2 linked regions of the Sus scrofa genome follow. The protein of the gene in region 2 interacts with the protein of the main gene of each other region in a pairwise test. Links are inferred from orthologs where the notes say so. Each region holds a gene or a part of one and is shown on either strand. Other genes may lie near its edges.

Evidence for each region. The genes of interacting proteins can lie anywhere in the genome.
Region 1: the proteins of CEP70 (region 2) and PSMA1 interact in binary tests that used the Homo sapiens proteins (3 or more experiments, as listed by UniProt). The two-hybrid records come from large-scale screens. The link is inferred for Sus scrofa from reciprocal best matches to the Homo sapiens genes CEP70 and PSMA1.

What each region holds. Positions count from the first base shown.
Region 1 is NC_010444.4:44,738,864-44,742,611, reverse strand, and holds the start of PSMA1 (proteasome subunit alpha type-1), read right to left. Parts: upstream 2,511-3,748; 5' UTR 2,377-2,510; coding exon 2,374-2,376; intron 593-2,373; coding exon 548-592; intron 1-547. UniProt on the Homo sapiens protein: Component of the 20S core proteasome complex involved in the proteolytic degradation of most intracellular proteins. This complex plays numerous essential roles within the cell by associating with different regulatory particles.
Region 2 is NC_010455.5:79,384,341-79,388,088, forward strand, and holds the start of CEP70 (centrosomal protein of 70 kDa), read right to left. Parts: upstream 2,601-3,748; 5' UTR 2,444-2,600; intron 555-2,443; 5' UTR 461-554; coding exon 452-460; intron 1-451.

The DNA.
Region 1 (3,748 bases), on a different chromosome or scaffold from region 2:
AAAACCCAATACACCTTAGAGTCATTGTACAAGACCCTTTCATGGATTTAAAATTAACTTAGAGGGGACGGGGGAGGGAGTAGGATGGACTGGGAGTGTGGGGTTAGTAGATGCAAACTGTTACATTTAGAATGGATAAGCAATGACATCCTACTATATAGCACAGGAAACTATATCCAACCTCTTGGGACAGAACACAATGGAAGTAATACAAGAAAAAGAATGTGTATATATATATATGGATGATTGGGTCACTTTGCTGTACTGCAGAAATTAGTACAACGTTGTAAAACAACTATATTTTTAAACAATTATATTTTTTAAAAATGACATAAATATCCCCATATGATCAAATGCAGAAAAAAAATTAACTCAGAGATCCCAAATTTCAGGTAAGAATAGCTAAACCTCAAACGATGTTCTTTAAAACTAGGAAACTTACAGGAATGTCTAAAATGATTATATTTTCTCACAGCATACTATCCAAAACATTTTTAAGTTGCAGCCACCAAAAGCAACTTTGTAGAAACAGTATAAAACATTTTACCTGAGGGCTCCAAACAGTGACATCATTGTCATACTGGTTGCGAAACTGAAAGTAAATGAAAAAAAATCTGTTAATACAAGAACATTACAAAACCCAAATCTTAACAAGCTCTATCACTCAAAAATGTTTTCTGGAGTTCCCATCGTGGCTCATTGGTAACAAACCCAACGAGTATCCATCAGGACAAGGGTTTGATTCCTGGCCTTGCTCAATGGATTAAGGATCTGGCATTGACATGAGCTGTGGCATAGGTCAGATTCCAGCTGCTGCTCTGACTGGACCCCTATGGAACTTCCATATGCCTTGGGTGCAGCCCTAAAAAGCAAAAAAAAAGAAAATAATAATAATAATAATTTTCTAGTCTATTTCCATCCAACATTAATGAAAGGTTGTTACTGCAACCTCATTGGAAGATTTCTACTGTACTTAGTTGCAAGCCAATTTTACATTTACAAGGAGCTTGTGAGGGAGGGGAGAGCAGAGCCAGATGGGACCTATCTTCCCAAATTCCAATTCTACCACTGTCCATTGCACTGCCTTTGAGTTCAGTCAATTACTAAAGTTCCTATGTGTCCACTCTCCTTTCTATCTTTGGCTTATTCTCTTCCCTGATACCAAGACCTAATACGATCAAAAGCATTCCTTTTCCTTGGAGTGCCTGTCGTGGCTCAGTTGTTAACGAATCCAACTAGGAACCATGAGGTTGCGGGTTCCATTCCTGGCCTTGCTCAGTGGGATAAGGATCTGGCGCCTCTGTGAGTTGTGGTGTAGGTCGCAGACGAGGCTCGGATCCTGCGTTGCTGTGGCTCTAGCGTAGACCGGGGCTACAGCTCCGATTAGATTAGACCCCTGGCCTGGGAACCTCCACATGCCGCGGATTCCGCCCTAGAAAATGCAAAAAGACAAAAAAAAAAAAAAAAAAAAAAAGCATTCCTTTTCCTTAAATACCTCAAATGTCTACCTCTTGAAGCCTTCTCCATCTTTCCTCCCCAAATCCCAACACATACTCCTACCATTCCTTTATCTACACCTTTTTTTTCGACCTTATATTACGATTAGGGACGTGTCTGATTTATCTTTGAACCTTCACTGTAGTTAAAACAGTGCATTTAAAACATTGTTATAGAATGAGTACACACAAGAATGTCCCCAGAAAGTCAGAAGTGGACACAAATAGCCACAGAGACGGACCCATTACAGCTTTAAAGACAGCTTAAAATGAGTCTGCCAGCACAGTACTTGGGAGCCCAATCATTAGGGTGAGAAGGCTGACTGCTGGAATGGTAGACATAGGACTGGAAGCTCTGAGCCCTATATTGTAACCCTTATTCTATCACTTCTATCAGCTTCAGTTTACTCTTTCATAAAAATACTTAACTGGATAAGTGACTGAAAAAAGGCCTTTTCTGATTGAGCTCTAAAAGAGAATTGAGCTCTCAACTCTGCTATTGGCTATACAGGGAGATTCCAAAAGTCAAATCCCAATTTTTCCTTTCTCTCACACAGAGCACTAGGGGCCCCTCTGGACCGCTCGGAATCTACTCGACTGAAGGAAACTGAGGGGCGAACTCGGCTAGCAGACCGAGGAGGTATTGTTCAAGGCCGGATGGAAAGCGAAACAAACCCAGGGGAAAGGCCGCACCGACTACCGACTTCCCCTGTGCCGGCCAGGCCAGAGATGCTGAATCACTCCAGAACCCCCCATCGGCTGAGGTTCCCATGTCCCATAGCCCCGGCCCGCTCTAAGAGTGACAGAGAGATCACTCGCCAACCCCCAGCCAGCGGGCCTGTGCCCCAACCCTGTTTGAGCTCGGAATCCAACGCACCATGGTTCCGGCGAGAGCCTAGTCACGGCCTCCGGTAAACCTGCAGATCAAGGAGCGCTGCCGAAACTACCGCTCGGCGATCTGCAGAGAAGTCTGCGGGACTATGCGTCGGCGCAGGGTAGAGCAGTCTATTCTAGAGATAGCGATAGGCTTCCGGCGCTTCCCCGCCCTCAAAGCTCTCCGCCCGCTCGGGAGTGGGCGGGGCCTGGGAAATCTGAGAAACTCACATTGGCGGGAAAATTTGGGCCAGGAACGCCCGCGGGAGCTAATAGTCGCTGGGTGGCCACTATCAAGTCGCCTTTCTTGGATCCTCAGAGAAGTTACCTGTGAGCTGTAGATTCCTGTCAGTTTCTCACCGGCCCGGCCGGATGCACCCGAGATTCCTGGTGTACTGCTCAGCCTCTCATTCAGCGTCCACAGAGATTTGTGGTGTTGGGTAGCGAGAAGAACAGGACTGCAAAAAAAGACCACAAATAATGGTCCATTTCTTCGTGTCAACGGTACTCTTCCTGGAGTATCTTGTTTCTGGACATGATTTTCTTTCTACTTTGGAATCCTTTTCCTTACTCCTTATTTTCCAGGCGTTGTTGTCACTGATCACTATCATTATTATCAGACTTTAAACTTTTTGAGGGCATTAATGTCTTTGCCGTCAAAACCAAGCACGATGCCTGAAAGAATAGGCAACTGAGGGACATCTTCTTCCGAAATAGGTATTTTCCTTTTTGCGAACATCTTTTAGTAAATTCTCAGAGAAAATAGTTTAGGATAGCTCTACAAACAGCTGCCAACCTAAAATTTACTGACTGCCAATGATGAGTTCTTTTCTTTACGAAGAAGAAAGGATGAGTACCTAGACTCAGGTAAGAGTTGAAAGGGGTCTTTAAGGATCTAAGCTTTGTCAATGAAGAGACTCAGCTCCCTTAAATGATTTGTTCAAGTTAGAGCAAGTTGGTATCGCACTTTAAAAACCTTGTCACATGTATTTTGGACACTTTTTTATATTAAAATTTTTCTAGGTTAAACAAGATTCCCGATATTCTGCATTGTGAACATATGATATTTTATTTACCGAAACCCCCATTGTTTAATATTTAAGTTTAATATTTAAGCCCTCTCCTGGAGCTCCCTGTCTGGCTCAGGGGGTTAAGGATCCACATTGTCCTCGTGAGGATGCGGGTTAGATCCTTGGCCTTCTCAGTGGGTTAAGGATTTGGCGTTATTGAGAGCTGCGCTATAGTCCCGCAGCTGCAGCTCCGGCTGGACCCCTAGCCTGGGAACTTCCATATGCCACAGGTGCAGCCCTAAAAAAAACCAAAATTATCCCTCTCCCAAGAAATTCATTTATGAGCTGCTTGATATATTTTTTTATGTG
Region 2 (3,748 bases):
AAAAATAGCTACTAATGAGAGGACAAAAGCAGTTGTGATTGGGATAAGCAAATTCTTGGCATGGCTAGCTAGCATAGTTCTCCACCCTACCCTGGGTGGTATCAGATTTTAATAATTCATTAAGCTATACATTTGGTATATGTGTTCTTTTCTGTTTGATTTCATAATAAAAAGTCATTTTTTAATAAAAACATTTTGTTAAATAACAATAAAAGCAAAAGGAACAGTGCCTGGCACACAGCAAGACAGGTGGTGATCAGAGTTGGTGACCAGCTACTTGTACTATCTTAAATAGTTACTTAACCTCTTCAGTTTCCTTGATTGGGTTTAAAATATCTGATAGGATTATGAAGAGGTCAAAAGGAAATAAATACATAGTATTCCATAATTAGTAGATCCTTTCCACAGCCTCTCAACATCCAGAGGGAGTTATTTATTGCGTCAGACATACCTCAGTCATAGCACGTTCCTCTTACACTTTTCACCTGGTCATTCAAGTTGATCAGAATGAAATGATCACCCAGTGAGCCTCACGTCTGAAACTGCATCTTCATCTAGGTTTCAAAAAGATAAACAGGCCCACATCTTAAACATTCATCTCCTATTAAGAATGATTTGTGTTATCCTCAGAGCAGGTATTCTTGGTGTTAATGACTGACTACAGGGAGCTGCATCTACTGAATCAACTGCTAATGGACTCCAGTGCTCACCACCACGTGCCTTCACCCTTGCCTTCTCTCCCCTTGTCTTTCTTTGTTTTGTTGAAACATATACCTGAGAGCCCAACTCTATTATCATCTAGCATCAAATCTGATTCTGACTTCAAAGGTATTCAAACAATATTCTCATTGGCAAGGGTACTCTCAGACAACTGGTACTGAAACACAAAGACAAGGAGAACAACTATCAATTTCACCTGTGACAAAGCCCTTCTTTTCAGAGGTCTATGCTGTGAAATTAATGTTACAGATAGTTTGCAGCAGCATTTTCCCCACTACGGGCTATGCCAGGACACAGGTCTGTGAGTCACCAGAAGAGACCCAGTGCTTCCCAGGACCAAAGCAGATGGTGTGGCTTGCTTTAAGCAGTGTCATAAGATACCTAAAGTAAAACTGTGGGAAAAGGAGTTGCGGGGTAGGAGTTGGTTCATACACACCACAGAAAACCAAGCACAGAGAAGCCAAACATAGTTCTGTTTGCACTGTCTAGGTTTCCCAAGAGCCCTTTGGTAACTTACCCCTTATAGGTTTGGAGCCCCTGGCTCATGCCCCATACATTAAAATGTAGTTGCTTTTCACTACTTTTTTGGGGACAAGCTGGGAATAAAGCATGGCTGGTAGCTGTTCTTTTTTGAGTCACCTCAAAACCTGTAATTAGCTTTCTCAAAAGCACATATTTCACTTTACTGCAATAAATGGAATGTGCAATGCTTTCAAAGTCTCTATTGTCTGTTAAATGCAAAAGCGCCATCCCAAAAATATACCAATACACTGTTTAACGTTCCTAAGAAGCGAATCTAAGGAAACAGAATTAGGATCGGATCTTACCTCGATTAAATCATCCTGCCCCAGGAGAGGTTACATAAAAGGTTAGAATAGGCCACTAAGCAGAAGCTGCGGGCAAAACCCTAGCCAGCCAGCCACCTTTTTCCCAAGGTGAGGTGGGGAAGGCCCGGGTCTACTTGACAATACCAAAAGTAAAAACAAAACAAAACCTCATGCAGAAGAAGATTGAGGCCAAAAGAGGTAATGCCCGCACAGTCTTTACCATTATTATGTATAGAAAATAAAGTGGTACAGAAACCCTTCTACATTTCAACATTTCCATCTCACTGATTTTCTTAATAAAATCATATTAGATTCCACATAAAGAGACTCTCCAACTCTGCAAAGATTACTTAAACCAGAGAAGGGATTACTCACCTACCCCTTTGTGTATCCCCCACCTTCTGCTACGAGCCTTCACTCGCCAAGTTACCTTCCCAGGCACCTAGATTCTGAAACGTGGGGCGAGACCCCCCGGCCAGCGCATGGGGACGGAGTAACTACCAACAACTATCCAGAATCCAGGCTGCGCCAGGTATCCGTCCAAGCTTCACACTCACTACCTCAATTAACCTTCTCAACCACCTTGTAAGGAAAGATTTACCAGCTGTCGTCTACAACTGAAGAAACTGATGCGCTGAGATGTTAAATGAGGAGCCAAAGATCACAAGGGGCGAGGAGCCAGGACTAGGACCAGGTCGATCAGGTTCCCCCCACCCGCCCCCAAACTCCTTATCCAGGGATTTTTAACTGGCGCCAACCCGTCCCAGGCAGCTCCTCTCTGGGGACCCCAGTAAGGGTCAGTATGACCACTCGCATTGCGCAGACGAGACCATTTCCGGTGGAAGCTCAAGCAGGGGCTCCAGGCAAAGCCTCTGTGAACCCCGAAGGCCGCTTACCTTCCTCAGCTGCCGCCTCTCTACAGCAGCTCGCCCAGCCCGGCCGGCTCAGCCGCCTCCCGCCCCGCCTCTACGACCGTTACTCCACCGTGGGAGGCCAGCCAATCGAGCCCGAGCTCATCGACGAGCCCGATTCTGCTCCGGCTCTGAAAGCCCTAGCGACTTTCTCAGACCGCCCAGGAAGGCTGGGATTGCTCCGTGCCCTCTGGTTGGCTCTGCTGCTGGGGGCGGGGCTTACCATTAAAGTGAGCGATAGTTTGCTGTTGCGGCTTTGCCGTCTGTGCTCCACAGCTGCTGGACCCCTTCTCCTCGCAACTGCTGTTCGCTTACCTGGGTCCTCATTTGCCAGGAAAACTTCAGAAATCCACATTTGAGGCGGTCGGCGCGCGAGCGCGTGCGTACACACACACACACACACACACACACACACACACACACACACACGGAAATAAGTATGTCTTGAGGACATTTTACCTTCCCATTCAGCATTTGCCAAATTTCCGCCAAATGTCAGGCCATAAATCGCGTTCCAGAAATGCAAAAGTGGCTGACTGGGGATATTCAGAGGCTAGTTAGGGAGCTAGATATACACCCTGAAAAGAAGGTGCAATGTGATAAGACATGATCAGGAAAGGTATGCAGGGCACGGAAGGGAAAGAAAGATTATTTACATCCGTCGCTAAAGTCTTCACCCCAGCTGTATATTAGAATCACCTGAGGAGCTTCGAAAATGATGCTCAAGCCCAAAACAAATTAAATCAGAATCTGCAGGGCGGAACCCCAGCTTCAATAGGTGATTTCCAAGGCAGAAAACTACAAACCTAGAAATATGCATAAGAATGATTTGGAATTATTTCCCCAGTAATACAGATAGGAGAAGGTATTTGGAGAAACCTCATGTGCAAATTAATAACTCCAAACCACTTTATTACAATGCCTAGCTCACAAGTGCTCAGTAAATCTCACTTTTTTTTTTTTCTGTAATTAAACCTGAGCTCCTTGGTACAGGTCATATCTGCCCTCCCCAAAAGCCTAGCTCCCAAAACATTGGCAAATATAATGGGCTTCTTAAGGAAGCTAAGGAGTGTGTTGCATATTGGAGAATAAGAGGAAGGTCTTAGCAAATGTGCTGAAGAGCTGGGACTTTATCTTGGAGATGATGGGGAAACATAGATCAATTTTCAAATGGAATATAAAATGGAAAGGGTTTAATTTGGGTATCTTCAAACACAGCTTTCATGCATAATTTGTTTTATATATATGTAAAAACTATATATGTGTTATATAGTAAACCAGTAAAAACTA